Linked DNA regions of Canis lupus familiaris. The protein of the gene in region 6 interacts with the protein of the main gene of each other region in a biochemical or structural test. Links are inferred from orthologs where the notes say so. Each region holds a gene or a part of one and is shown on either strand. Other genes may lie near its edges. The genes, in order: TNFAIP3, SMURF2, EPN2, POLH, OTUD7B, UBC and USP24.

Region 1 (3,448 bases), on a different chromosome or scaffold from region 6:
TGGTCCCATTTTCTCAGGGAGAACACCAGGCAATCCCATTAGCCAGGAAGGGAGCTACAGAGAACTCGATGGGATGGAGAGCATCTGCCTGACCCAGGGAAACCGGAGCGGCACACACAGTCTGAGAATGGGAGCTCTCCAAGGACGCCTCCCCGCCCAGGACCATGAAAGCAGGCCTGGCCCCCGGGAGGCCGAGTACCAGGCCTGGCCCAGTGGCCTGCGAAGCCTGGCCCAGCGGCCTCTGCTTGGATTAGTAATATGCTGCCCTTCTTGTGAACAAAGGGACAGGCGCCCATGAGCCAAAGTTTGCTTTTCTTATGTGCCACTGTGTGGAGGCACTGGGGTTGCTCTGTCTCCTCCTCCTGTCTCGTGACAAAGGATTACTTCAGAAAGCCTGCTGGCCACTCAGATGCCTTTGCTGCTACTAAAGCTCAAGCAGTCTCTGTTCAATGTCTGGCTTTCTGTGGACTTTAAGAGGTTTTATTCTATGGATAACTCGACTTAGTTTTTAAGTCATCTTTTTTTTTTTTTTAAGATTTTATTTATTTATTCATGAGAGACAGAGGCAGAGGGAGAAGCAGGCTGCCTGCGGGGAACCTGATACAGGACATGATCCCAGGACCCTGGGATCATGCCCTGAGCTGAAGGCAGCCGCTCAACCACTGAGCCACCCAGGCGTCCCTCCATTTAATTTTTAAATGAGTTCTAAAGTACACTTAAGCCATGAAAATCAAGAGTAGCTACTGCACTTCCAACCCTGGGGGCCACATGACTTCTCTCCACCCCTGCAATTCTTCCCTGGAACTTGGCTGGGAGGAGAGTCTGATGGTCTGGTCAGAAGCAGGGGCTCCAGCCAGGAGGGCATCCTGGCGGGGCAGGGAAAGTACCTCAAAATGTCTCACCAGTTGCTCTTCGGTCCTTTTCGCTTCATGAAATCTCTGACTCTGAGCTTCAATGAAACACTTCTGACAGTATCCTTCAAACACGGTGCTGCCAACGGTGCCACATTCCCTCCCCAAACACGGAACAGCGTTCTGGAACCTGGGGGCCGTGGGACTGGCTTTTGTTGAGGCAGTGACAAAATCTAAAAGAGAGTTTGGGGCCCATCAGTGTCACATGTGGTCTCCAAGCAGGGAGAGACCTTGCTGTTAAAGAAAAAGACAGGTTCTGGATGCAGCTTAGGGCAGCCTATGCCATGCATCCATGAACACAGCCTTTTATAAATTCAGCCAAATAAAAAATGGTAATAATGTCATCATCAAAACATCTATAACTTTACAGATGTCTCACTTTTGAATGTGCTGCACTGGCCAGGTACAGTAACAGAACATGCAAAGACGTCAACTTCCCATCCCTCTTTCAAGCTAGAGATTGCTAAAACTACCCAGGTTTTCTTACAATGTTGGCAGAGGCTTCCTTCAGTCCAGCTACTGCTCTTTGGATCTTGAATGTTCTCTATCACACCTACGTTTCCAAAGAAGTCCTGTTTAAACTCTACCTTATAAATGCCAGATGCTGCATGACCTCATGACACAAATCCTCTGAACTCTATCTACGAGGTGCTATAGGGTTTTGGAAGGTGGATTTCTGTGGCTTACGTCTCCAGGCAACTGTCCCACTGTGCCCACCACCCAGAGGGGCTGCTTTCTTGCAGCTTCTAGACCAGGGGTTTGAAACGGGGTTAGGAAACTAATCATGTCACTCACGTTTGTTTTCTCTGTACTCGATGAAACACAGCGTGCAGAAGCCTTTGTTTTCTGGAGTCCCAAAATACATGCAGCCGGCTTTTCTGCATTTGCTGGTCCCCGTCCTGTCCCCTGGAGTCCGTGTGGCCTGAGAGAGGCAGCCGGAGGGAGCCTCGGTCCCGGCTCTGCGGCAAGCATGTGGGGAGAGACTCTGGATGAGCTGCGAGGGGTCTGACTTGGACCGCTGGTGACAGGAAGGAGGGACGCTGGAGCTGAGGCCCGAGGAGGGCTCCGCTGTAGTCCTTTTGAAGCACGTACTGCAGATGCCGTTAAATGTCCGGGTGACATCCTGTAAGCAGGCTCGGCACTTCCCAGGGTCTAAGTGCCTCATGCTGTCCGGGCTGTGGCCTGCAGTAAGCTGCCGGGCGTTGTGGCAGCGCTCGCAAAATCCGTTGTGCTGCACGTTCAGTGTGAAGGGGCAGCCGGGACTCCTGCACTTCATCGCGGTGGTCTCGCTGAATAGGAAAAGGCTGGGGGCTGTCGGAGGGGCCGAATGAGGTCCCCCAGCTGGCTCTTCGGGGCTCCAGCCCATGGGCTCATAGGCCTCTCCCCGGGAGGGCCCAAGCACTATGCCCGGGAGCACCTCAGGGCCTGGCTTGGAGTGCAGCCTGGAGGATTTGCTTTGGTTCTTTTGCCGCCTCTCTGAGCATTCGTGGCACAAAGGCTGGGTGTTCACTGACATGAAGAAAGGACAGTTGGGTGTTTCACATTTTACGTCCATGAGAGAAAGCTGGGGAACGGAAGGTTCCAAAGGATTCTGAGCATGCATCTCTCTCCGCTCCTGCTCATTGTTCTCCTGCCACTTCTTGTACTCGTGCTGGACGAGCTCAAAGTAATCATCTACCAGATTTATTTCTTTGGGTAAGTTGGCTTCATCCAGCCTAAAGACCAAAAGGAAAAATATGAGGCTACACACAAACACAGATACACACTACACACACACGATTTCATATCATTAGTTCATAGGGCAAACTTTTAGAATGTGGATTATGGCATTAACTTCACAAGCATTCACTGAAATGCAGGCTCATGATTAAGAGTCTGCGCTTCCAATGTAGCACAGTCCATCTAAGAAGATTTCGTTATTTCGAGAATCAAAATCTTACTTAATCAATCTTGGTCCAACCCAAATTACAGATAATTCTAAAGAAAGGGCTATTCTGGGGATGCCTCCACACTTGATTACTCTATTCCTCTTCTCAAAAGTCACTTTTACCTTTTAACTTCTCTCAAACTTCTATGAAAATATTACATAGGGTATTCATTTGGGATGAGGCTACTTCATAGTCTACTTTGAGAGCTCGTTGCCTCTATTTTGCTGTTATTGATCTTATTGATCTTAAACTTGTGCCTGGTCTGTATCAGCATTAACCACCCCGCACAGTGACTAAGTAGCCGCCACGCTCACAGGTGCTGTCCATGGACTTCTGATCTTCTGTAATGGGCCCGCCTCCGCTTTGAGAAACGGATTCTCCTATCCCTCCATCGTCCCCTCTTGTGTATTTCAAGTCCTAACAAACAGGCATCTAACAGGAAGCCAGTGTTTAATATATGGATACCTGTACAACAAGCACTCTGGGTCTCTGTCACTTTCATGTGGCCAAAATCGTATGGCTGCCACAGAAACATGATCTACAGCCCAGTCTGTGTCTGATGTGTCTGTCTTTACCAAGAAGCCAAAAAAAAAAGGCTTTCATCTCCAA
Region 2 (3,985 bases), on a different chromosome or scaffold from region 6:
AAATGTCTTCAGCAGATGCTGTGGAATTACTTCATTAAATCCTTTCTGCAGAGCCAGGAATTGCGCCTCAATGCCTCGTAAAAATCTCCAGTTCACATAGAGCCTGTAAACATTGGGCAGGGATTTCACACAATCAAATAGATTCAGATTTGGTGACTATTACGAATCTCTACTTGAGCAACAGTACACCTTGTGAGCACCTAGCATTAAGAGTTTAGTCTAGAGTCTAGGCTGCCTGGGGGGCTCAGTCAGTTTGGGGTGCAGCTCTTGGTTTCTGCCCAGGTCCTAATCTCATAGGTCATGAGATCAGGCTCCACATCAGGCCCTGCACTCAGCTCAGAGTCTGCTTGTGATTCTCTCCCTCTTCCTCTCCTCCCCACCACCCACACCAGCCACTCTGCAACCCCCAACCCTGCTCTCTCCCTCTCAAACAAATAAGTAAAATCTTTAAAAAAAAATTAATCTACAGTCTAAAGGAATCTCAGATTCCTGAGGGTACTGGACCTGGACCTGAGAGATAGTTCATTATAAATGAAAAAGTGGAAACCTTCCACTAACAAAAGCAGCATAAATAAAGCAACTCTGCAAATCAGAGAAACTCCTAGTACACTGGAAGGCAGCTAGAAATTAGTTGGGTCTGAAGTTAAAATCTGTACGAAACGTCTTTCTGAACTTTTAGCATACATGCCACCAATCAGAAAGAAAGAGGCCATTCAACCAAAACAGACTATTTTTATGGTTGCACTTCAAAGTATTATCTGAATGTGTGGGGTATTTTGTTTATATTTTGCGGGTGGTATGTAGGGAAAGAGGAAGTAAAGACACTCTTTAAATCCAAAATGAGAACAGTAAAAGCCAATAGTAAACACTTTTTGATTAAATACTCATTGTTCCCTGGAGGCCTTAAAAAAAACTGGAAGATCTAAAAAAAAAAAAAAAAAAAAAACTAGAAGATCTAATTCTACCAACAAAAAGTATACCAGACTACATCTAACATGTAGCTTTACTTATATTTTTGACTTGGACTTATAACCAAATTGCCTTTTAAAAAAATCTATCTACCTGGGAAAACTCCTCCATCTCAAAAATCTCAGAACTATTCACCTTCCAAATATGTCAACATTTCTACTTCCAAACCTAGGGAAACAATTCTCTATTTTAAGAAGCTACTTAAGATTAGATCCTTTGGTGGACCTCATTTTTATTTAAGAGGACAGCAAAATTGTGCATCTACAAAAGTTTTTCTAATTTTTTTCTGTCAAAACTGTATCTGGTAGGAGATATGACTTTGTGCAAAAACATGCTTGAGTCCCAGCAAGTGGGGTCTAAGAACTCAGCAGTCCATGCTAGATCCCAAAGTGACACACTACTGAATGACATTCAGGAAATTCCCATCCATTCTTTTATTCGCCAATTAGAAATGTAATAACATGCACGTTTTCTATGTAAAGAAAAATCAAACAGTAAATGTAGAGACAGAATAAAAACTGAAAGCCCATTCTATTACCCTCCCCTCCCTGTCTGCATCCAGGTCCTGCACTCACACTCCCTCATCCTAGCCAAACACCTTATTGGTATGTAGTCTTCCTGGACATCTTCCGAATAATTATAAAATAACACAGACTTTGTTTCCCATAATGTCTAAAACTTGCCTTAAAAAAAAAAAAAGCGTATCTACTTATTTTAAGTAATTTCTATACCCAATCTGTAGCTCAAACTCATGACCCTGAGATCAAGAATCACATGTTCTTCCAACTGAGCCAGCCAGGTGCCCCTAAAACTTGCTTTTTAAATCTAACAACTTATATAGTCTCTTTCTTTTAAACATCCATCCATATAATATTCTGTTGAGTGTATGTATGTATGTAAATTGTTCTCCTCTAATACACTTCATTAGTTTCCAGTTGTTTTTACAAGCAGTATTTAAGTGAACATCCTTATTTATATTTAACTACCATGTGTTTCCACAGAATAGATTCCTAAAAAACAGGGCTGCTGGTTGAAAGGCATGTGCATATTCATTTTGGGAGCTGTTATCAAATTGCTTTCCAAAAAAGCTATTCCAGGGTTCACTCCCATGAACAGTCTGTGAGACTGATGGGCCTCAATGTGTCAACCAGGAAAACTTAAGCCAGTAAGACTTAGAGACATAATCTACACAAAAAGAACAGTGTGCACATTTCTGTGTACATGTGGCAAAGTTCAAACACCTACATTAGATTACCATAGTTTTATGTTTCAAAGAACTTTAGTTCACATAGGCCAAATGATCTAACCCAGTATTTCAAAACTCCTCAATCATCAGGTGATTATATAAAATTTGAAGAACATTTCTTATATTTATCCCTTAAACTCACTATTTATAAACAAAATGACTGCTGGAAACACAGCATGTAGTGTTCTGTACAGCTAGCTGTGGCAGTTCTACTACAACTAGCCCCATGCACCCTGTTTCTTGGTATTCATGCCTTTAAACAGTTCCCCCCACACACGCTGAGCCTGGGCTGGTTTGTGACTCCCTTTAACAGAAGAACATAGCAGAGTTGATCCAGCCAGTTCCAGGCTTAGGCCTTAAAAAGATTTGACAACTTCTGCTTTTGTGCTCTGAGAAACCAGCTGCTCCTAAGAAGTCTGGCTATCTTGCTGGGGAGACAGACACCACGAGGAGAATTCTGAGAGGCCTCAGACTTGACATGGAGATAACCAGGGAGCCTAAACCAACAGTGAGAACAAGATCCCAGATGGTGACCCAGTGACCATTCCAGCCAGCTTCCAGCCACCGTAGCCATCCTAGCTGAGGGCTCAGGTATTTGAATGAAAAGGCCATCCTGGGGTCAGTCCCAGCGAACACCACATGGAGGAGCCCTATGCTATCCCTACTGTTCTCTACCCAAATTACCTGTAGAATTGAGAGATCAAATAAAACAGTGGTTGTTTTTAAAGCCACTAAATTCTGCAGAAGCCTATTTTGTAGCAATAAGCAACACTACCTAAATATATCAGTGTTTTTCTGTATTGTCATTCGAGAGCATTAAAATAATTCTCAGGCTTGAAAACACAGAAGTGTTTACCTGACATATTCTTTTTTATTTTCTTCAGTAACAGGGATACTCTTGCCATTTGGTTTAAGTTCATGCTGAATAATTTCACCATATGCGTTATGTTCGACACAGAAAGTATGGTCCAAAACACCTGTAATATCATTCTCACTAGAAAGGAAAAGAGAGAAAGATATTAAACTGGAAAATCTAAAATATGGATCCTACAGATGTCTTAATTGGTGAGACAAATAAAATTAAGATAGTTTCATGACATCACAAATATAAGATCAGATTCCTTTTGCCAGTCCTTATGCTACCATATATCCTAGTTTTGGGGCAGAAAGGTCAAAAAGCTTTAACCTTCATAAACACAGGAAACATTTCACTTCCTGAGTAATGACAAAGTCCCCTGCCAAAGCTGGGCTTTACATAGGGAAAACTTCAGTTATGTTTGGCTTTTAGGTAAGAAGCCCTATTTGAATCTGGGTACCCCCATGCAACCAAATACCTGAGTGTCCCATGGGAAAGCTACCTGTGTATTTGAAAACTAAGTATGGCCAATGTATATTCTTAAGTAAATGGCCTCTGACAAAACAGAACTGATTCTTCTAGGTATCTTTTTTAAAGTATGGTTTCAACAATCACTACTGCAGCAGGAATTTGCTATTCTCACACATGCAGGATTGGAACAGAACTTCTATCATGTGGAGGAAATCATTATTATGTGGTACCTTTAAAAACAGAAATATACTTGTTCTCCACCCCCCTCTTTAAAATAGTACTTTGGGGCACCGAGGCGGCTCAGTCGGTTAGGTGTCTGCCTTAGGCTCAGGTCATGATCACCAAAGTCATGTGACAGAGCCCCTCATTAAGCTCTCTGCTCAGCAGGGAGTCTGTTTCTTCCTCTGCCCCTCCCCCTGCTTGTGCTTTCTCTAGTTCTCTCA
Region 3 (4,642 bases), on a different chromosome or scaffold from region 6:
TGGCTGCCAAAGGCTTGACAGAATAGGTCTGTTTAAACGGAACACACGAACAGAAAGTCTGGCAGACAAATGGGGGGGCTGGGGAGATCTACAAAATTCCTTCTCTCCCCAACCTCAAGTTCCCCCAATGCAAGCCCTTTTATTTCTGCAAGGCTCGGGGTCACCAGGTACTCCTGCCATCAAGTGACAACCACCACAGTCATCCATGGCCCATCAATCCAACAGGAAGGTTCTGGGGAATAGGAAGAACAAATGCCCGAAAGCTTTACTGCACTTCCCAAGAGTATGAAAAGAGAGCTCCATGCATGAAAATTTCTTGGCACTTTAGCCCACCAAAGACTGAAGTTTACCCTCAACCTAATGAAATCTTTATTTAAAAAAAAAAAAGCCCACTCTTTTAAGTTCAGGAAGAGGCAAGCCACTGAAACAAATCAAAGTCCTAAAAACTCTTCATCTACTTTTTGCAGGACTCTTATCAGAATCCCAACACTTAGGAAAGCCACGCCTTACCATGGAAGCCCAGTTACCTAAGAGGCATCAACTGTGTTTTTCCAAGGGCTTTTTTATGGGTTGGGTTATTTTCTTTCCTTTTTAAGATTTTATTTATTTATTTGACAGAGACAGCACAAGCAGGCAGAGGGAGAGGGAGAAGCAGGCTTCCTGAGGAGCAACGAAAAACAGGACCCTGGGAGCCCAGGACCCTGAGATCATGACCTGAGCCAAAGGCAGACGCTTAACCTGACCGGGCCACTGAGGCACCCCCGGGATGGGTCATTTTCAAGGCTGCATATACCATGCTAAGTATCATCACTTGAAAGTTTTACATTTCCAAACATGTGCCACCGTGTTTGACAAAACGCACCTTGCTGGGAGACAGTTCTCCACCAAACTCCTCATCTGTCAAACTGGAGGTTCAAGGAGGCAAAAAGCCTCCTTGAGAGATCAATATATCCCACAGGACAATCCAAACTTGCTCCTGCTCCAGGGTCTTGTGGGATACAATTCTGAATCACGTCTGACAATAATTTGCACTTTACCCAACTCTTTACTAGCCAGTATTTCATTCAATGCTTACAAAAGAAAAGTCCAGTGGTAACATGACCAACCCAATGTTAAAACTAAAGAAACTACTAAGCTTTAAAAATACAAAAGTAAAAATACAGACAGATAAAAGTTCAGATCTTGGTAGCTTCCCCAACACCATCACTTATCCCAAATACAATCAACTGGAACAAGAACAAGTCAGAAAAAAAAAAGAGTCCCTTCTGATGTTCATTTAAATACAGATGAAAACTTAATTATCAGTGCAAACTCAATCACTGTTGTGCAGGATTCAGTATATGATTTTGCCAGCACCTATCATCTGCTATCTAGAGCTACAAGATGTACATGTTTTCTGCCAAATCTTCATTATCTTACGTAATTGGGAGAGTGGTAATTAAAATTCACCTTTTTCAATCGTTTTAACCTCCTGTTCCAACCTCTCCTTTCACAGGGCTTTTTTGGGAGGAGGCAGAAAAGAAGAACTCATACTTCACATCTTTTCCTGCCCATTATCTTGTGTGAATGTTAAAAATAAGAGGGGGGGAAGGGGTGTTATCCTGAACATCGCTTTTAAAATTCTAAAATGTGCGAAGAGAGCACCCGGGAGACCAAGCTTCTAGTTCTGGCAGTGACACAGTAGCACTGCATGACCTTGGGCAAATCATTGCATCTCTGGACCCCAATGATGGTCAAGCCCGGTCCTCTCGTAAAGCACAGATTTCAGACGCGTCCCCAGGACAAAACAGTGAAGGGACCCCAGGCTGTCGTGCCCCTGGGAGGAGGAATGGGCTTTTCACAGGCCCCTGCAGGGGTTTCTGGGGAGGGCAAGGTGCCCCCACTCCCCACCCCAACCCCTCCCCGCGAAGCCACTGGGCCAACTTCAGGTCGCAAACAAAAACCTGTTGGCACGGACTCCTCTAGGAAGGGCCAGCCTCTGCCAACGCGCTCCGCTCTGGGGGAGCCGCCCCACGGGCAGAGAGAGGAAGGGTCTCCTTGAAGAGGCCGGCCCCCACGCACCCATTCACCCACCCGGATCAGCCGAACGGGACCGCCGGGCGGGGTCTCTGGCATCCCACGCGGAACAAAAGGCAGCTGGAGCCAGGCTCTGCCGCCCCCGTCCCCGCTGTGCCGTGGGGGTCGGGGGTGGGGAGGGAGAACCTGGTCCCCGGGGAGGGAAAGGGGCCCCCAGCTCCAGCCCGAAGGAGAGCGGCGACCGGACGCAATCCTGGACAGCGAGGACCCCTCCCCCGATTCCTGGAGGAAACAGGGGCTGGGCTGTGCACGGGGGCGGCCGGGAGGGAGATCGGGCTCGGCTCGGGAGGAAGGGGGCGCCCGGCCCGACCCGGGGAGGAAAGTGCTCTGGGGAGGAGGGGCGGGGTGGTTCCCGCAGAAAGGTGGAGGATGAGGGCCTGGAGAGGCTCCTGGAGCTGAGCCCCTGACTCCGAGGACGTAAGAGGGAGAGTTCCCCGACAGGGAGATTGGGGGGGGGGGCTCCCTTGAGGCTGAAAGCGGGATCCAGATGGGGAGGGGGCCATGCTCCAACCCGTGGGGCGGAGCCTGGCTGGAAAGGAAAGGGTCCCACCTGAGCTGGGGACCCAGCCCGGGCAGGCTCTGGGGGGTTGGCCGGAGGGCAGCCGCGCAGGGAGGGCGTCCGCGCCCCGGGGAGGGGAGGGTCCGCGCCCGGGGGCCCCGCTCCCGCCCGCCCACCCCCCCGCCCCCGAGGCTCGCGGGCCCCGGCTCACCTCCGCTCCTCCGAGCCTGCCCGGGTACGCGGCTGCGGCCGCGGGTGGCACTGGGGAGGCGGGAGCGACCGAAGCCCGCGGAGCCGCCGCAGCCGCCGCTGCCGCCGCCGCCGCCGCCGCGTCTAGCTCCGTTTGACACCCACACACCAGCCAACATGGCGGCCGGGAGGGGGCGCGCCGGCTGCGTGCGCGCGCCCGCCGGCCCCGCCCCCAGCCCGCCGAGGCCCCGCCCCTCCCCAGGCCCCGCCCCCGCGACCTCCCCCCACAGACCCACGACCCCACTCAGAGCGCCCCGCTTCCCCGCGGTGCCTCGCGACCTGCGCCCGAGTCCTTCGAGCGTCCCCCCAAGCCCCGCACACGCCTCTTGACGACCACCCTCCAACCGCCCACAAACCCTACCAAATACACACCCGAACCCACGCACTCGGCAACTTTCACTCAGACACCCCGTTCCCCGACAAATCCCCCCCCCCCCGTACCCCATACTCCATCTCGCCAGCCTCAGGCGCGCACGCAGAGCCCTCCATCAGCGCTGAAACCCCGTTCTTACCCTCGCCTTGCAATATGCACTTGGAAACATTATTCCAATAGGGGCTCTCCTCCAGAGCTGGGGCCTGGCAGGGGCCAGGGGCTCCTGGGGTGCTGGTCACTTTCGGTGTCTTGAGCTGAGTGCCAGGGTCACGAGTAGTGTTCACTTGTTGAAAATTCACTGATGTACACTATAGATGTGTGCACTTTTGTGTAGATGTGTTCGTACTTCAAAAAAACTCAAAAATGGTTCTGAGAAGGGATGCATCAGCTTTGCTAGACTGCCAAAGGGATCCATATAGGAAAAATGTAAAGCCCTTGGCTCACCGTTATCCTCATAAGAGGAATTTATGGACTCACCCCTTCGCAGGGCCTGACACTCACAAGAGCAACAGGATCCACCCCTTGCATTGGGTTCAACAGGTGCCCATGAGGCTCCTGCAATGTGCCAAGCTCTGTGTGAGGCTCAGAGGGAGACAGAAGACAAAGCTGAAGAGACAGACTTTGGAGAGGTTCCTACCCCAGAAAGGGTGGGATCAGCAGAAACCCCTCACAGCAGAGTCTGGAGTATGGGTCCCAGCTTGCTGGGTTGGCAGTCAGCACCATCCCTGTTGCCTGGATCCAAGGAAGCCCCGGTGACATGGGCATTATGCTTAGCTCTGGTTTCAGGGAAGCTGTGTCCATGAGTCCCATTCTGCCCTCACTTATAAGAGACCTTGGGCAAGTCACAGCACTTCTCTGAGCTTTGTATTTCTCCTCCCTAGGAAGAAGCCCAATGGATGAAGAAAACTCATCTTTGCTGGGCCTTCCTGGGCTTTCTGGGAGAGCAGAGCTTTACATGAAATCATGGCCCATGCCCTCAGTTTGTAACTCTAGATGGATTATGCCAACATGCTGTGGGTGCCCAGTGCAGGCTGGAGTGCTTCCCATAGATTCAATGCTGCCCAATATAACTTCCAATGATGGAAGTGTTCTCTAGCTGTGCCATCCACATGTGAGCGCTTGAGATGTGGCTTAGTGTGACCCAAGGAGCTGAATTTTTAAGACCATATTTAGCTTTTTTTTTTTTTTTTTTGGTAAGATTTTATTTATTCATGAAAGACACAGAGAGAAAGGCAGAGACATAGGCAGAGGGAGAAGCAGGATCCCTGTGGGGACCCTGACATGGGACTCCATCCTAGGACCCCAGGATCACGATCTGAACCAACGGCAGATGCTCAACCACTGAGCCACCCAGGCGTCCTGACTGTATTTAACTTTAATTAATGAATTGAAATAGCCATATGTGGCTGAACAGTGGCTGGCCTAAAACCCACAGCCCCAAAAGG
Region 4 (4,428 bases), on a different chromosome or scaffold from region 6:
GGAGCCCGATGTGGGACTCGATCCCCAGACTCTGGGGTCACACAGCCAAAGGCAGTCAACTGCTGAGCCACCCAGGCGTCCTGTGACAGTAACTTTCTTGTCATGTCCCCTTCTGCCTATAAAATTCTTTCATTTTGTACAGCTCTCAGGAGTTCCTTTTTGTTAGATGAGATGCTGCCCAATTCACAACCATTGAATAAAGCCAGTAAGATCTTTAAATTTACTGTTTTTTTTTTTTTTTCCCTCCAACAGGCCTAACTTGGGGAACCACCTGCACCACCACCTTCTGAAATAAGACACAACCCTTTAATTAAACTGACTTATTCTCAGGACTAAGGGACTGGTTCCATTGGATATGAAACAACCTAGCAACTCAGAACAGGCTCAAACCTACTTATACCAGATGGCTGAAGATGTTAAAACATTTCACAATATTACCCAAATCCTTGAAGAGATTTCCAGGGCTAGCCAAAAAGTCAAGATCACTGACCTATTTTCATGGCTGGACCCTTTCAAATTTGGGACGATAAGTACAGACTGGATTTCAAACTATAGCCTGTATAATTATTCAACCCTTTTAACATACTAGCTATCCAGGCAGTTGATGTCTTCATCACTGACTCTGGCATCACAGGGTAGATTGTTGTGTAAACTCTCACAGTTGTTCCCCCCATCCCTATTTCATAATGCAGATGCCTGATTTAAGCTTGGATTGCTGAGGCATCCACTTCAAAGATGACTATCTTGAATAAACACAGCCATTTGTGTGTGTATATATATATATATATACACACACACACACTATATAAAGACTTTATATAGTGTATATACACTTTATATAAAGACTATATAAAGTGCCAGGCTGCCTCCCCAACCTGAGACTGCTTTGTTTTAGAGTTCTTGGTTGATTTCAATAACTGGCCATTTTTGGGTGCTTGGGCTTTTTGTTTTCCTTTTTCTCTCTTCCTATACTTTAAATTCCTGCTGTTTTTTAATTTAAAATTTTATTTTTAATTTTATTTGAGAGAGAGCATGAGCGGGAGAAGGCAGTCAGGAGGGAAGCGGACAAGAGAGGGAGAAGCGGACTCCCCGCTGTGCAGGGAGTCAGACTCAGGGCTAGATCCCAGAATCCCAATATCATGACCTGAACTGAAGGCAGATATTTAACCGACTGAACACCCAGGTGCCCCTCCTGCTCTTATTTTTTAAATTTACCCACGAAGAGGCACCTGGATGGCTCAGTCAAGTGTTTGCCTTTGCTCAGGTCATGATCCCAGGATCCTGGGACAGTCCCACATCAGGCTCCCTACTCAGCAGAGAGCCTGCTTCTCCTTTTCCCTCTGCTACTACCCCTGCTTGTGCTCTCTTTCTCTGTCAAATAATTAAAATCTAAAATAAATAAATAAGCTCACCCATGAAACTCTTGATGGCCACCCTCAACCCCAGTAAAACCCCCAGCCTGTGCTAGCTTGGTCCCTCACTACCTGTAACCTTGCTGTGTACTCACTGCTGTGTCTTGTGATCTCCAGGGCTTGTAAAGAATAAACTTTTTTTTTTCTTTCAAAGTTTCCTGAAGGTCACTGTTATGGTTTGGACAGAGGAGGTGTCTGTGGGAAGCTCACTGGAGCCCAAGTGAGTGTGCCCCCAAGCATTTCTAACCATGGCATTACCATCGCTAGGCTGAGATAGCACAAAACACACAAATACCAATTAAATTACGATCTCTGGTGGTAGAAGCCAAATATCAATATTACTCAGATGTTATTTAAATTAATTAAAGATAATAGATTGAGCTAGCACAAAACAGGGTGCAACCTGGGCACTGTGATTTTTAAAAGGTCTCCAGGCAATTCTAATATGTAGCAGAGACTGGAAACAATAGACCTCAAGTATATAAGATACTTATGGAAACACCAGTAATTGGTGATTTAAATATGAGACACATAGGTTATACAGTTGAGTAAGCACTCAACTGTACTCTTAAAAAAAAATCACATAAGATTAGTGGAAAGAATACAACAAATTTAAAAATCTGAATAATCAAGGTATTAATTCCTTATAAATTCCACTCACTGAAAACTGGCAGAATGTGTAACTTTAAACATTTGTAAGTTACAACCATAACATGTCAGAAATCACCTCACCATGAAGTGGCTTTTGTGTTGCACTGGAACAGATGGTGATGCCAGAATAAAAATAGTAAACACATTTTCACACACATACACTAAACTTACCAGGGAAGTACCACACGAGATGCAAATGGCAGAAATGGAGTATGAATAGGAAGCAGTGATTTAAGTCCAGCAAACATTTTATTGAGTAAACAAACCCAATATGCAAACTTCAACAGAAAATGAATCTGATGAAGTCTTCAGTTTATGTATTTTGCTGGAGAAAGCAAGAGCTTTTTAAAGATGGAAAAAAATGAAACACACTCGCTGCCAAACCCCCCCCCCTTTTCCGAATAAGGATTACACTGCTCTGAAGTCTTATACGTAGCACTTCAAATGATGCAAACTGCACAAGCCTTCAATAATTGCAATTATTCATCTTCAAATATCTCGACTTATCACCATCTGTACCAAATAAGTTTGGTGCCCGTCAGGCGAGAACACATCTAACGAAAATAAGCACAAGCGAAGAGGGAAGTTTAAGAGCTAGCTAAAATACCACTTTCCCACAAGAAAATTCCTCTCAGGGAACCATACCGGGCCTTTACGTCTCCGTAAGCATGCGTTTGTTTCATCGAATTTTGGCCCAACGTCATCATCAGCCACTGCTACAGCACGAAACCAACAGCCAAGACAACATGAAAAGTCTGCCGAGCGGTTCGAAATTCTCTTACCAATGGGGCAGTCACCTGGAAAAACTGCCAGGCACGGACGCCGGAGATGCCGGGCTCGCTGTCCACTCAAGGAAGACGAAGGCGTCTTGACTATCTGCCCCGTCTCCGGGAGAGGACCAGTCGGCTTCCAGAAACTTATTCCCCGTGATGACGGAGAAACGGACCACGGGTCCCAGACGACCCTGGCTGGGGAAGCCGCCCGCACCGCCCCGCCGGACTAGCCAGGGCTTGCGCGCTCAACAGCCAGCCCTCGGAACTGAGATTAGACAGCGCGCGCGCCGCAAAAGAGCCGTTGGCGCGCCTGCGCACTGCAGCCCTTCCGCTCTCCGCTCCGCCCACCCAGGAGCAACCGTCACACGGGAGCCGCCACTTCCGCGGGCGCGTGCGCAGTGGCGAGTCGGGCGCGTGCGCAGCCCCCGCTCCTTCCAGGCTGGAGCTTCTGCAGCTCACGCTCCTCCTCCCGCTCCCCACCCCCCAGCCCGCCGCGGCCCGGTACCAGCTTGTGGTCCTCCGAAGGGAGCGGTCGGTGCCTCGTGCTCCTGGGACGGCCGTGGTGCGCGCTCGCGGCGCGTGGCACTAGCCATGGCGATGGATCAAGTGAACGCGCTGTGCGAGCAGCTGGTGAAAGCGGTGACGGTCATGATGGACCCCAGCTCCACCCAGCGCTACCGGCTGGAAGCCCTCAAGGTAGAAGGGGTCCGGCGTCCTGGGCCTGCCCCAAGATCCTCCCCTAGCCCCCGCGCCCCCCCCCCCCCCCCGCCCCGCCGCCTGAAGCCCTGCTGGTCTCCCGCCCACGCGGCCCTTGAACCTCCCACTGCAACCCCCGGGGGCCCTTAGCCTTTCCCCTCCTCGCCCTCCGCGCTTCTTCTCACTCGGGCTTTCTCTGCCAGTCGCGCCTGCCCTTTTCTCGGGACCCTCTGGTTCCCTGCTGCTCCTCCTCTCACTACCACTTGCTACTGCCCTCTCTTCTCCTCTCCCCACTTCTCTTTAGTCCTACCCACACCACAGCCCGATGCTTCTATTTTACTACCCCAAGCCCCACGTCCCCTAGCCTTCCCGTGGCGCACGTGCCCGTCACGTACGTCCCCAACACCAGCTACATTCTTTACGGTCTCCCCTGCATTAAACGTTTCCTTGCATCCTCCTGACCCATCCTAGCCGAGCTCCAGCCCCGCTAGTGCCACTTTATTTACATTCTTACCCCTCTCACTAATTCTCTTCTGTGTCTTGGGTTATTTCTGGGCTCATTCTCACACACCCTCCCCCCCACGTTCTTTTACTTGTTCTATTCTCAGGCTATTTTGCGCAAAGATGAACTTCTACCACTTACTTTGCATTTTAACAAGGGCACTTTGGTTTCCTGAAAGTAGTTTTCTTGAGTCCGCATGCTCAGCTCTTGGGACTGACTCTTCTATTGCAGTTTGGGAATGCTAATACAAATTGGGATGGTAATAAATTGCGCACTCATTCCCACATCAAACTACGTGTGTGGATTGTGAGAAATGACCATTAGGAAAAACACTTGTGCACGTTATTTTTTAAAGTTTTTAGTAATTTTAAATGATGTCACATCATTTAAATGT
Region 5 (3,985 bases), on a different chromosome or scaffold from region 6:
TAAAAAAATGCTACTTTCTATATTTCTCCAATTGTATTTGGTTTGAGAAAGCGGGTTGGGAAATTTGGTAGCCAGTTGGACTTATAGGTTTTCCCTGACTGAAAGAGGTAACCCTTGTTAGGTAATCATCACCACATGAGTGGGATGTTCTTTGGGCTGTGTATGTTCTAAGGTAACTCCGTTTCTCATTGCAGAAAAACGCCTGTCTAGGGGCATCTCCCACGCCAGCTCCAGCATTGTTTCCCTGGCCCGGTCCCATGTCTCCTCCAATGGTGGGGGTGGGGGGAGCAGTGAGCACCCCCTGGAAATGCCCATCTGTGCCTTCCAGCTTCCAGATCTCACTGTGTACAATGAAGACTTCCGCAGCTTCATAGAGAGAGACCTTATTGAACAGTCCATGCTGGTTGCCTTGGAACAGGCAGGTCAGTGAATGCTGCTTTTCCCCAGGTTCTTCCCTCTGCTCTTTACCTGTAGGCAGCCACGTGGAGGGCCTGGCCTTAACCAGTAGCTCCCAATCTAAGTGTGGGATCTGACTGCAAGTGTCAGTCAGATCAACACATATACTGAGTTAGGTGCTTCTTTTCAGGACATAAATTAAATACTTTCTCCTGGAAATTTCTATTTGGTGGAAGGCAAACCAGATATGCACATGAAAGGCCCAGGAATCCATACCTAAAAATCCATACATGGGGAAGAAAATACGAATGAATCAAAATTGGCTCTGGAACATGTTTGTGATCAGAAAATACCAATATTATAGCTGATGTACACCGGTGATTAATTTAAAAGTGCCATTTGTTTATATGAGCCTTTCTCTGAAGATATATTTACCTTTACAATTGTGTTTGTCTTAAATTACTGTTAAAATTGGTTAACATAGTGGGGTGAGGCTGCTGGAAATTATGGAAAAAGCTAGTCAGGTATTAAAATTCCTTGGAAGAAAGATGGGGGCTGGGAGTTGGGGGCATGGGAAACAAGCTTTCATTTTTCATTTGTACCCTTCTATAGTATCTGTGTGGATCTATTTAATACTTTCTTAAAAAGTTAGCAGGTTCTAGCTAGTGAGATTATAGGTTAGTTTTTTTCTATTAACTTTTTAGTAATTCAAGAAGACTTTTTAAGCATGATTCATGAAATATTTTTCTCCTATGAATAACGGATTGGCAATTGTGGGATGACTATACAGAATTGAGACTCATTTTCTTAGGTGTTTCGTATGCTTTGTCTTGTTGCTTATATCTTTAAAGTCATATCACATACAAGTTGCCACGCAGTCATATATGCGATGATACTTACGTGACTCTGTGAATACATGCTTTGGGTTATTTTTCTTTTAGTGATGATGTTTTTGTGCTGAGTTTCATTGTTATATTATTTACTGGTCTCCTGACCAGAGGGAAGACATCAGAGCCAGCCAAGAAGCCAACACAGATTTCCACCTATGACCTTGGCCTCATCATCTAATCCAGAGTGGCTCAATCTCAGCATTGTTGATATTTAGGACCAGATAATTTGGTTGTGCAAGCGGCCTGATATGATATATTATGTTTAGCAATCTCTCTAGTCTCTACCCACTAGATGCATCCCTCCTCCAGTTGTGACAACAAAACAGCATTTCCAGATACTGCCAAATGTCCTCTTGGATATTGGTTAGATCAGTGGTCCCCATGTAAGAACTGCTGATCTAACCAATCATGCTCTCTAGATTCTGATTCATTAGGCATTAGTGAGGAAGATATAAGGAGTAACAGAGATGGTTTTATTCTGGGTAGGCTTCCTGGAGGAGGCAAGTTTGGAGTCTTTTTTAGAGTTAGAGAAGTGGGAAGGACTTTATGGATAATCTACTCCTCTCCTTTTCTTGTTTCTGTAGGGCGTTTGAACTGGTGGGTGAGTGTGGACCCTACCTGCCAGAGGCTGCTTCCTTTGGCAACTACTGGGGATGGAAACTGCCTCCTGCATGCAGCCTCTCTAGGTAAGTTTTGAAAATGGTGTTCCGTACCCTCAGAAAGGAAGCAATGGAATTAAATCTCATGTGCAGGACTTAATCCGCTAACCTTGATCTTAGGCAGAAATGATGGCATAGTGTGTATGTGTGTGTCTGTGTTTGTGTGTGTGTCTGCGTGCGCGCATGGGTATGGGCATGCGATGCAAGAGATGGAAGAGAGCCCTGCCCTGGTTTTTCAGTCTTGTTCAGAGAGCATATGGAGAACACATGCTTTAGTGTGGGTCCCACTCTGAGAGCTACCCCCAGAAGTAGTGAGCAGCAAGTATGTAAGCAGGGTAGAGCTATGTGTGTCTATCATTATACTTCATATTTATTCTTTTGCTGTATAAAAAAGATATGCTTTCATTGGTTTTTGTGAGATTTGTTTAATTATAAAACTTATTTATAATTCAATATGTTTTTTGCCTTAGATTTTAAAAAAGTCCTCATTTTCCAACCATCCCTCCAGCTTTGATGGTGATTGCCATGTGCCAGACCCATCTTCTATACTGCCACCATGTATTTTAGTTTGTTAGACTTGTGTCATGAGTAAGGAACTTTCTGTCAGGAGTTTGTAGGATGTGGTATATCTCCCACTTGTAAGTTCTCAAAGTATCTGAACCTCCAGAGTAGGAACACATTTTCTGTCATGGTTAAGTACCTCTCCCCTGAGTCACAGGAGTTTCTTTGAATCTGGCCTTCAGCCTGATTTCCTTCATGCTAGGACATATGCATCATAATTAGTAAAGGTAAGTCAAGGTAAGGTGTCCTATTGGTATGTTTTCTTGCTGCAGGCATGTGGGGTTTCCATGATCGGGACTTGATGCTACGGAAAGCTTTGTATGCGCTGATGGAGAAAGGAGCCGAGAAGGAAGCATTAAAACGGCGCTGGAGGTGGCAACAAACACAGCAGAATAAAGAGGTGAGGGAGTTTGGGAACACCTTGTTCTTAGAGTTGGCTATGGTGAATGCTCAGTGTGTGCCAGTAGGCCATGTCTCCTGGTGCCTGATCAGTGGTACTCCCTTTGGAATCCTGGAAATTGTAGACAATACAAAAGACACCACGGGCCTGTGCCTTTCTGAGATAATCATGAGAACTAGCATGGGGAAGCTGAGAATCATGGAGGAGGTAACTAACATGCTTCTCACCTGATGGACACTCATTAAGTCTTCAGTAGTAATCTTTTGCAAAATAAGATAGGACAAGTCCACAGGATTTTTGTATTGTTTGGAGCTTTTTTGCTTATAATAATAAAGCTAAACCAATTTTTAAGGACTTATGTTTTCAACCCTTATAGGAATGTAAATGCTTAAAAATTTTGTTGGCTATATGTAATACTTGTTTTTCATACACTCGGTTTGTTTAAAAATTTTAAAAACATGCCTATTAAATTGAGTTTGAATGATACTTCTCAGGGCCTTAGCAGGTGTTAAGACTGCTTTTGTATAAGAACGTAACAATGGCTGTTTGTACTTTCCATCCCCATAACTGGGGTTGAAAGCTAACTATGACCTGTGAGACAAATCTCAGTAACAGTTAAAAAAAAAAAAAAGTTTCATTGGAACACAGCCCTGCACATTCATTTATATATGTTTGCTTTATGTTAAGTGCTTTCCTTGTGTAAAACAGAACAGCAGCAGGATAGAGTAGTTACATATGGCCCACAAAGCCTCAAAGATTTACTGTCAGGCAGTTATGACGGGGCAGTAAAAGAGTTGGCTGAACCCTAACTGTAATGATGACACTGTACACTTACACAAAGATAACAAGTCTCCCTCTTCCCTTTTCCCCTAGTTCTCTCTCTCTCTTCTGTGTTTATCTTACACGCTGTTTGAGTGTATCTGTTTGTTTGTTTTGCCATTTATATGGCTGGGTGTTCTGGCATAAATATGGGACAGTCTTTTCGGAAACTTTCTTTTTTCTTTCCATTTTCCTTCTTGTTGCCTTTTATTGCTCTATCATAACTGGCTATTATATAGAACTAAGAGGGTTTTTTTTAG
Region 6 (4,134 bases):
TGAGGCGAAGGACCAGGTGCAGAGTGGACTCCTTCTGGATGTTGTAGTCGGACAGGGTGCGCCCATCTTCCAGCTGTTTGCCAGCAAAGATCAACCTCTGCTGGTCAGGGGGGATGCCCTCCTTGTCCTGGATCTTCGCCTTGACGTTCTCGATGGTGTCACTGGGCTCCACCTCCAGGGTGATGGTCTTACCCGTCAAGGTCTTCACGAAGATCTGCATGCCCCCCCTGAGGCGAAGGACCAGGTGCAGAGTGGACTCCTTCTGGATGTTGTAGTCGGACAGGGTGCGCCCATCTTCCAGCTGTTTGCCGGCAAAGATCAACCTCTGCTGGTCAGGGGGGATGCCCTCCTTGTCCTGGATCTTCGCCTTGACGTTCTCGATGGTGTCACTGGGCTCCACCTCCAGGGTGATGGTCTTACCCGTCAAAGTCTTCACGAAGATCTGCATGCCCCCCCTGAGGCGAAGGACCAGGTGCAGAGTGGACTCCTTCTGGATGTTGTAGTCGGACAGGGTGCGCCCATCTTCCAGCTGTTTGCCGGCAAAGATCAACCTCTGCTGGTCAGGGGGGATGCCCTCCTTGTCCTGGATCTTCGCCTTGACGTTCTCGATGGTGTCACTGGGCTCCACCTCCAGGGTGATGGTCTTACCCGTCAAGGTCTTCACGAAGATCTGCATGCCCCCCCTGAGGCGAAGGACCAGGTGCAGAGTGGACTCCTTCTGGATGTTGTAGTCGGACAGGGTGCGCCCATCTTCCAGCTGTTTGCCAGCAAAGATCAACCTCTGCTGGTCAGGGGGGATGCCCTCCTTGTCCTGGATCTTCGCCTTGACGTTCTCGATGGTGTCACTGGGCTCCACCTCCAGGGTGATGGTCTTACCCGTCAAGGTCTTCACGAAGATCTGCATGCCCCCCCTGAGGCGAAGGACCAGGTGCAGAGTGGACTCCTTCTGGATGTTGTAGTCGGACAGGGTGCGCCCATCTTCCAGCTGTTTGCCGGCAAAGATCAACCTCTGCTGGTCAGGGGGGATGCCCTCCTTGTCCTGGATCTTCGCCTTGACGTTCTCGATGGTGTCACTGGGCTCCACCTCCAGGGTGATGGTCTTACCCGTCAAAGTCTTCACGAAGATCTGCATGCCCCCCCTGAGGCGAAGGACCAGGTGCAGAGTGGACTCCTTCTGGATGTTGTAGTCGGACAGGGTGCGCCCATCTTCCAGCTGTTTGCCGGCAAAGATCAACCTCTGCTGGTCAGGGGGGATGCCCTCCTTGTCCTGGATCTTCGCCTTGACGTTCTCGATGGTGTCACTGGGCTCCACCTCCAGGGTGATGGTCTTACCCGTCAAGGTCTTCACGAAGATCTGCATGCCCCCCCTGAGGCGAAGGACCAGGTGCAGAGTGGACTCCTTCTGGATGTTGTAGTCGGACAGGGTGCGCCCATCTTCCAGCTGTTTGCCGGCAAAGATCAACCTCTGCTGGTCAGGGGGGATGCCCTCCTTGTCCTGGATCTTCGCCTTGACGTTCTCGATGGTGTCACTGGGCTCCACCTCCAGGGTGATGGTCTTACCCGTCAAGGTCTTCACGAAGATCTGCATGCCCCCCCTGAGGCGAAGGACCAGGTGCAGAGTGGACTCCTTCTGGATGTTGTAGTCGGACAGGGTGCGCCCATCTTCCAGCTGTTTGCCAGCAAAGATCAACCTCTGCTGGTCAGGGGGGATGCCCTCCTTGTCCTGGATCTTCGCCTTGACGTTCTCGATGGTGTCACTGGGCTCCACCTCCAGGGTGATGGTCTTACCCGTCAAAGTCTTCACGAAGATCTGCATTGTCTGTCACAAAAAAACCCAAAAAAACAAAAAAAACAATCCGGAGTGTAACAGACCACTCACATGTGAATAGAACGCTAACAGTTACTGGTCATTTTACACTAACCCAAGAACTAAAATAAACCTCGCCAAAAAACCTAAGGCGAAGAAACAGGACAGGTTTTGGAAACTCAAATAAGCTCCAAAACCAAGTTCCAGGCCCCAGGAGGAGAGAAAGCATGGATACCGGTCAAGTGAAGGCGCCGGCTTCCGTATCTTCCCCTCCCCCCTCAGTGATGTCTGGACCGGACAATCCGCAGGATCTCCCCTCCCCCGCCCCGCCTAACCCTTGTGCCCCGCGACTGACCCAAGCCGGCTCCACACACAGGAACACGCGGCCCCACCCCGGATTGTTAGCTGACAAAGCGATGACATCACATGACCGACGCGACGAGCGGGCCCCCTCCCCCCAAACGGGCGCAGGACTGCTCCGGCACTTCGGGCCCACTCGCCGCGACCGGACACGGAGCGTGGCGCCAGCGGGGCCGCGGAGCACACAGGGGCTTCCCGCCCCCACTCACTGCGCAGAGGGCCCCGTCAGGGCCCCACTGGCTCGGCGCGTCTCGCCCGCTCACAGCCATCCCGTCTCCCGGGCTCCTCACGGCCCCTCGCACCTCGGCTTCTCCCCGCACAGGAGCCGTAGCGGACGCCATTTTGCTGCGCCCCCCCCCCCAAGAGTAACCGCGCTCCGGCGCCGCGGGCAACTCCCCGGGCAGCCGGCTGCCCGGCCCCCCGCCCCTGCAGGGCCCCAAGACCCCCAGGCCCGCGCAGCGGCCCGCTCCTCACCAAGCGGCTGTGACAGAAGCGCACGGAGACGAACAACCGACCTCCCGGCCTCCACGGAACTGCCTGCGCCACGCCCGGCGCCTCCTTATATAACAATCGGCCGCGCCGCTCCGGCGGATCCCTGCGCAGAAACGCCGAGAAGGGACTACTTTTCACCGTCTTCCTGGCCTCCAGGGAGAAAACCACTGCCCCAGAATCTTCTAGGAGCCCCCGGAAACGTCGACCTGTCAAGGCTGGGCTGTAGGGCTGAATCTGGCGAGGAGAGGGCCGCGGTCCCGAGCGCCCGCGCGGAGGGATCAGCGCGCCCGTTGAGTGCTGCGTCCGCGGACGTGGCCGGCGCCGGATGCGAGGGGGGAGGGGGGAGGGGGCGAGCGCGGAGAACAGGGCCCGCGGGAGACGGGAAAACCCGGCGCGGAATCGCCGGGCGTCCGGGGCGAGCTGCCCCTGCCGCGGGACCCAGACACCCCTTCCCCTCGGCCGCAGCGGTCCCCGCGGCTCTCGAGACCCGCCCTGGGCGGAGAGGGGTTGGGCGTCGTGGTCCCTCGCCCCTCCGCGACCGCAGGGGTCCTCGCGCCGGGGCCTGCGGCCCGCCCATCCCCCCGCGCGGGCGCGGACAGGACGGATGACTCGACAGATCGCGGCGCGGGGCGGGAGGTGGGCCCGGGCTGGGCTGGGGCAGCGGGGGAGCAGGGGGTGCGGGACGGCCGAAGGCTAGAAGGGGGCGCAGAAACCCCGCACGCTTTGCCCGCACCTATTCGAGAGGCGTCTGGAAGTCCACCGAACTTTCTAGAATGTCCTTTGGCCTTCCTGTACCACCTACGCCGCCTTGTACTAGATACACACACGGAGGCATCTGGTGGACACTCAGTGGAGCTCAGACGTACAACTTCCTTAGGCCTGGGGTCTCAGAAACACAAGTCCAATCCCAGGCCTGTACATTCGTGGGCGGGGGGGGGGGGGACACAATTTAATATCCCAAATACAAAATTTGGGGCACCTGGGTGACTCAGTGGTTGAGTGCCTTTGGCTCGGGGCGTGACCCCGGGGTCCTGGGATCCAGTCCTGTGTTGAGGTCCCCGCAGGGAGCCTGCTTCTCCCTCTGCCTGTGTCTCTGTTTCTGATGTCTCATGAATAAAGATCTTTTTTTTTTTTTAATAAAGATCTTTAATAAATAATTTAATTACATTGAATTCTATGGCAAAATTCCATTTGAATAAAAGGAGAAAGACTGAAAAATAAAATACCTGAATATGGTGAAAACTTAAAAAGTTTCTGGAAGTTTACAGAGAAAAGTCCTTCACATGCTCAATCCCCCAGCCACTGTCTCTTCTGGAGCTATTCTCTGTTTCAGTGTGGAGGGGGGAAAGATCTTTTCATTTCACCCTCAAAGCTTTCAAGAAAAAAACAAATAGGAAAAGTTGCCTAAACAATGTTCTGCGGTTAAAAAAAGACTCATTCCTGTTTTAAATTATGAATATTGTATTATTTAAATT
Region 7 (3,985 bases), on a different chromosome or scaffold from region 6:
GAGGCCAAAGTTAAACATGTAAAAATAAACAGCAGAAAAGAAAGTGAGGTCATCATTTTAAGACATTTCAGGGGGAAAACATAAGTTACCCTTATCTGTTCATCATATTTAATGGAGCGTCCACTCTCCCAGTCAAATCCAAATCTCATTAGGTGAATTACCAAGACGCTAGGTAAAGACTTAATGCAGGTCCTTTTCACGGTTATTCTCTAAAGAAAAGCAAAACCCAATTATTTTCATGGAGGAAATAAAACAGCAAAATCATACAAAGATCAGAGATTTCATAGGCCTCTCCTGCCCATGCAAAAACAGGTAATGATGCAACTTAGCAACAATAGGAGCTTAATATTGCCCTTACATAAAACACAAATGAATAACAAATCAATTGTTTTCTAAAAAAGGGAAATGTGGTACCTTTTCTTTACACTTTTCACAGTAATATGCATTACTTCCTTCTAGAACTTCTCCTCTAACAAACTGATCCAAAGAAATTTCCAAGCTCTGACAAGAAGTAACTCCAAGATTGAGAGCCATGAAAGCTTCCTCACGCTCGTATCTGATTAGGAAAATCACAGGAAAAACAAACAGTAGAATTTAAAGATCTTGAAACTACCACAATACGAGAGTCTACACAGAACTACATTCTGAAATTCTGAAATTAACCAATGCTGTCCCTCATCCTTTTAAAATTACACTGCCAAATAAAAATGCCAATTTTTGTTAACTAGAAATGACTTAAAGTTATGAATTTCAGCAAAGAAATTTTAGATATAGAAACCAGAGAAACTTAATTCAATAAACATTTATAGGTCCACTGAAGAGAGAGATCTGCAAGTCTTACAACAATGCACGATTCATGACATGCTAGAAGTATTTAAAAAGGATGATCATGTACAGTCTACTGTAGCCAAATGGCAACTTCCATGTTTTCACCTTAGTACTGAATCCTTTTCCTACTGCAAAAATATTTCTTCCAAGTTTGATATCTGTATTAGGATAACTCTGAGAATACGTAATTTTGTTTGAAGATTTATGACTTCCAATGGAAATCCATGTGTTTACATATGAAACTTAAAGTACTCTTAAAGCTCTATAGGAAAGCTTCTTCTTCTTCTTTTTTTTTTTTTTTTATATAGGAAAGCTTCTGCTTGCATCATGATTTACATTATACTAAGTAGGGTAAAAAAAAATATTAAGCATGGTGATGCTCATGAATCTGAATATTCTAGAACTTGGCTGAAACCAAATATATCAATAAACTGTTATAGTAGCTTTTGGAATAAAAATACTATTAAAAAGATAATAGCTCAGATTTTTATCTACTGTCACTTTAGTCAAGTAAAATATGGATGAAAATTAATGAACAAAGTACTACCAATTAAGAGGAAAAAAAAAAAAAACTGAAGAGGGTCAGTTTTGATGTCAATGATATCTTCACTTACCTGTGAGGACAGTCTTTACAGATCTTCTGATCAGAATAGATGCCCTGGAAAGTATTCTTAAAAATTTGGTCTCTCCCCATTTTCTGTTGGAATAAAATGTTAGAATTTTAGTTGATGCCCTGAGAATTTGCAGGTCACTTATATAGAATTTTATTTAGACCTAAGCTAAAGTGCAAATTTGAACTTAACAGCTAAAATACACTGAGTCATGGTGATAGTTTAAGCTGGGATTGAATGGGAGGATTAGAACCCACTGGCTCCACTGGCAAAGGAAGAGGAGAAGAGGCCAATGGCAGCTGGTGACAAAAACAGCACTCAGTGATGATTCCGAATCCTTCTTCCCATGCGACAATGACCAGGTTAGAAGCAACTCTCCACAATCTTTTCTCCTTTCTTGTGGATAAAATGCTATGATCGTGAGTTTTCTGAACAAGGAAATAACTTGGCCTCCTAAGGAGAGGAGGGGCAGATAAGGATAGTGATGGGAGGTGCCCTGTAATTAGGAGGCAGCATCACTTAGGATCTGTCACATGTCATGCAAGGTAGGGGCAGGAAACTTTAGGTTGGTAAGCTAGCCTCTCTGGCAGTCAGACTGCCATGCACATGCACAGGCTGTCAGGTTCCCTGCCAGGGCAGCAGTCCTGAGGCCAGGCTACCTCAGTGCACCCACAATAAGAGCATGAGATGCAGATGGTGAGTATGAAGCACAGGTTAGGAACTACAGACTCCCATCAAATGTTGGGTGAATTAAGAAGTCCATAATTGTAGTGATCTGTGTCTGTTTTGATGTTCAAACCCCACCAGAAGAAATGAATTATGGCTGTGGTATTAAAGATGACCAGATTCTGATTTGTCGGTTTCACAGTAATCCCAAATCCTGCCACACTCCACTCGTATTACAGTTTGAGGGAGTCCAGAGAGAAAGTGACATTTTCTTCTACCTTGAGATATTCGTCCATCTGATCAATAAGACTAGTGAAGAATTCATATGCATCTTGCTGTTCTCGCACATAAAGCTCTTTGTTCCACATCTTGAAAATCTATGCAATAAGAAATATATTGTTAAATGAAAAGTAGCAATTTCTGAATATAGAAGAACACAAATGTGAAAGAGCACTTAAATGCTTCTAAAAACCAGGGTCATTATTAGGGCAGTAGACATTTTTATTGAAATGAGACAAGCTTGAGTTCAGCTACCTATGCTTGTCCCTGGCCCCTGTGTAACCATCACAAGTCTGGGAGACCATACCAGGTGGGATCTGAGGCCACAGAACATAGAGTTTCTGTCTTAGAACTATCCGAACTACGAGGGAAAATACAAGGTACTCCCGTGAAACAGAGTAATGTTCTTTATTTAGAGCATTAGTGAAATTGGAATACTTTGAATAAATATTCTGAAGAGCTAAAATGAGAATCATGAGAAGTACTCAAAATCGTTAAGATCAGCAAATCCCTAGAAATTATAAATGACTATTCTTAATATTGTAATCATTTGAAATTGAACATCAATCTTAAGAAGAATGGGGTAGAGTCCATTCTTCTGTAGGTTCCTGGAAATGGGATTAGTCTAGAGTTAATAAAGACAGAAACAATTACCACTAGATCCAAATATCTGACGTCTTGAAATCTAAAGAGATATTGGGTGAAATACCTTCCAGAAGTTCTCAGGTACATAATACTGCAGCTTGCTTTCCATCAGATGCCCAAAGAGCGACTGCACCTGGTAGAACACGCTATCGTCTGGATTGTCCGTGTCATCATCCACTGAAAGTAACGACTAAACAGAAACAAGGTGTATTAAGCTAGAAAGAGTTCACTGCTTCACAGGCGACGTGGACATACGTATGTGTACTGGCCACATTGCTTTTCTGATGCTGTATATGTTTGGATGTGGCTACACTCTGAGTATGTTTAGCTTCAGTATTTCCTTTTGGTGGACTCATGAAGTCATTTCTTTGAGCTTCTATTTGATTATGAAAAACTGGAACTAGTAATCTCTCTGAGAGACAAACATGGCATGATACATATAGAGTATTTTGAAAACTACTGACTGCAATATAATGAACTTGTAGTATATGCTCACCCTTAAACATGGGTTTGAACCATACAGGTCCATTTATCCATGGATTTTTTGGGGGGTACAGTACAGTACTATAAATGTATTTTCTCTTTTCTAGCTTACTTTATTGTAAGAATAGAGTACATCATACATATAACACATAAAATATGAGTTAACTCTGACTATCCAGTCAATAGTAGGCTATTAGTAGTTAAGTTTTAGGGCAGTCCAAAGTTACATGCCCATTTTTTACTGCACTGGGGGGTGAGCACTCCTAACTCCTGTGTTGTTCAAGAGTTAACTATTATAGAGCACTGATGACAGACCCTAAATTTTTCTAAAATACTAAAAACATTAGTAATTTTATGGAAATAGAATTTGAGAGTAAGTAACTTAGATCAAAAATCTCAACTGGTCAAGTCTATCTGTCAAATATTCTTTCAGCAGATTTATAAAAGCACGTGACCATGAACATGTTGTCTAC

What was found.
Region 1: the proteins of UBC (region 6) and TNFAIP3 form a complex in vitro, tested with the Homo sapiens proteins (13 studies listed by BioGRID, with this or other methods). The link is inferred for Canis lupus familiaris from reciprocal best matches to the Homo sapiens genes UBC and TNFAIP3.
Region 2: the proteins of UBC (region 6) and SMURF2 form a complex in vitro, tested with the Homo sapiens proteins (6 studies listed by BioGRID, with this or other methods). The link is inferred for Canis lupus familiaris from reciprocal best matches to the Homo sapiens genes UBC and SMURF2.
Region 3: the proteins of UBC (region 6) and EPN2 form a complex in vitro, tested with the Homo sapiens proteins (4 studies listed by BioGRID). The link is inferred for Canis lupus familiaris from reciprocal best matches to the Homo sapiens genes UBC and EPN2.
Region 4: the proteins of UBC (region 6) and POLH form a complex in vitro, tested with the Homo sapiens proteins (5 studies listed by BioGRID and IntAct, with this or other methods). The link is inferred for Canis lupus familiaris from reciprocal best matches to the Homo sapiens genes UBC and POLH.
Region 5: the proteins of UBC (region 6) and OTUD7B form a complex in vitro, tested with the Homo sapiens proteins (12 studies listed by BioGRID, with this or other methods). The link is inferred for Canis lupus familiaris from reciprocal best matches to the Homo sapiens genes UBC and OTUD7B.
Region 7: the proteins of UBC (region 6) and USP24 form a complex in vitro, tested with the Homo sapiens proteins (4 studies listed by BioGRID). The link is inferred for Canis lupus familiaris from reciprocal best matches to the Homo sapiens genes UBC and USP24.

Annotation. Positions count from the first base shown.
Region 1 is NC_049222.1:30,494,248-30,497,695, reverse strand, and holds part of TNFAIP3 (tumor necrosis factor alpha-induced protein 3), read right to left. Parts: intron 2,627-3,448; coding exon 1,707-2,626; intron 1,085-1,706; coding exon 888-1,084; intron 1-887. UniProt on the Homo sapiens protein: Ubiquitin-editing enzyme that contains both ubiquitin ligase and deubiquitinase activities.
Region 2 is NC_049230.1:14,565,218-14,569,202, reverse strand, and holds part of SMURF2 (E3 ubiquitin-protein ligase SMURF2), read right to left. Parts: intron 3,210-3,985; coding exon 3,072-3,209; intron 104-3,071; coding exon 1-103. UniProt on the Homo sapiens protein: E3 ubiquitin-protein ligase which accepts ubiquitin from an E2 ubiquitin-conjugating enzyme in the form of a thioester and then directly transfers the ubiquitin to targeted substrates.
Region 3 is NC_049226.1:41,168,054-41,172,695, forward strand, and holds the start of EPN2 (epsin-2), read right to left. Parts: upstream 2,922-4,642; 5' UTR 2,787-2,921; intron 1-2,786. UniProt on the Homo sapiens protein: Plays a role in the formation of clathrin-coated invaginations and endocytosis.
Region 4 is NC_049233.1:12,222,848-12,227,275, reverse strand, and holds the start of POLH (DNA polymerase eta), read right to left. Parts: upstream 3,140-4,428; 5' UTR 2,846-3,139; intron 394-2,845; exon of another isoform or gene 259-393; coding exon of another isoform or gene 253-258; intron 1-252. Other genes in the region: XPO5 (exportin-5), read left to right, coding at 3,428-3,532. UniProt on the Homo sapiens protein: DNA polymerase specifically involved in the DNA repair by translesion synthesis (TLS). Due to low processivity on both damaged and normal DNA, cooperates with the heterotetrameric (REV3L, REV7, POLD2 and POLD3) POLZ complex for complete bypass of DNA lesions.
Region 5 is NC_049238.1:59,895,854-59,899,838, reverse strand, and holds part of OTUD7B (OTU domain-containing protein 7B), read left to right. Parts: intron 1-194; coding exon 195-422; intron 423-1,870; coding exon 1,871-1,972; intron 1,973-2,778; coding exon 2,779-2,906; intron 2,907-3,985. UniProt on the Homo sapiens protein: Negative regulator of the non-canonical NF-kappa-B pathway that acts by mediating deubiquitination of TRAF3, an inhibitor of the NF-kappa-B pathway, thereby acting as a negative regulator of B-cell responses.
Region 6 is NC_049247.1:5,228,712-5,232,845, reverse strand, and holds the start of UBC (polyubiquitin-C), read right to left. Parts: upstream 2,801-4,134; 5' UTR 2,642-2,800; intron 1,820-2,641; 5' UTR 1,817-1,819; coding exon 1-1,816.
Region 7 is NC_049226.1:54,618,141-54,622,125, reverse strand, and holds part of USP24 (ubiquitin carboxyl-terminal hydrolase 24), read right to left. Parts: intron 3,220-3,985; coding exon 3,094-3,219; intron 2,483-3,093; coding exon 2,384-2,482; intron 1,526-2,383; coding exon 1,443-1,525; intron 557-1,442; coding exon 415-556; intron 210-414; coding exon 90-209; intron 1-89. UniProt on the Homo sapiens protein: Ubiquitin-specific protease that regulates cell survival in various contexts through modulating the protein stability of some of its substrates including DDB2, MCL1 or TP53.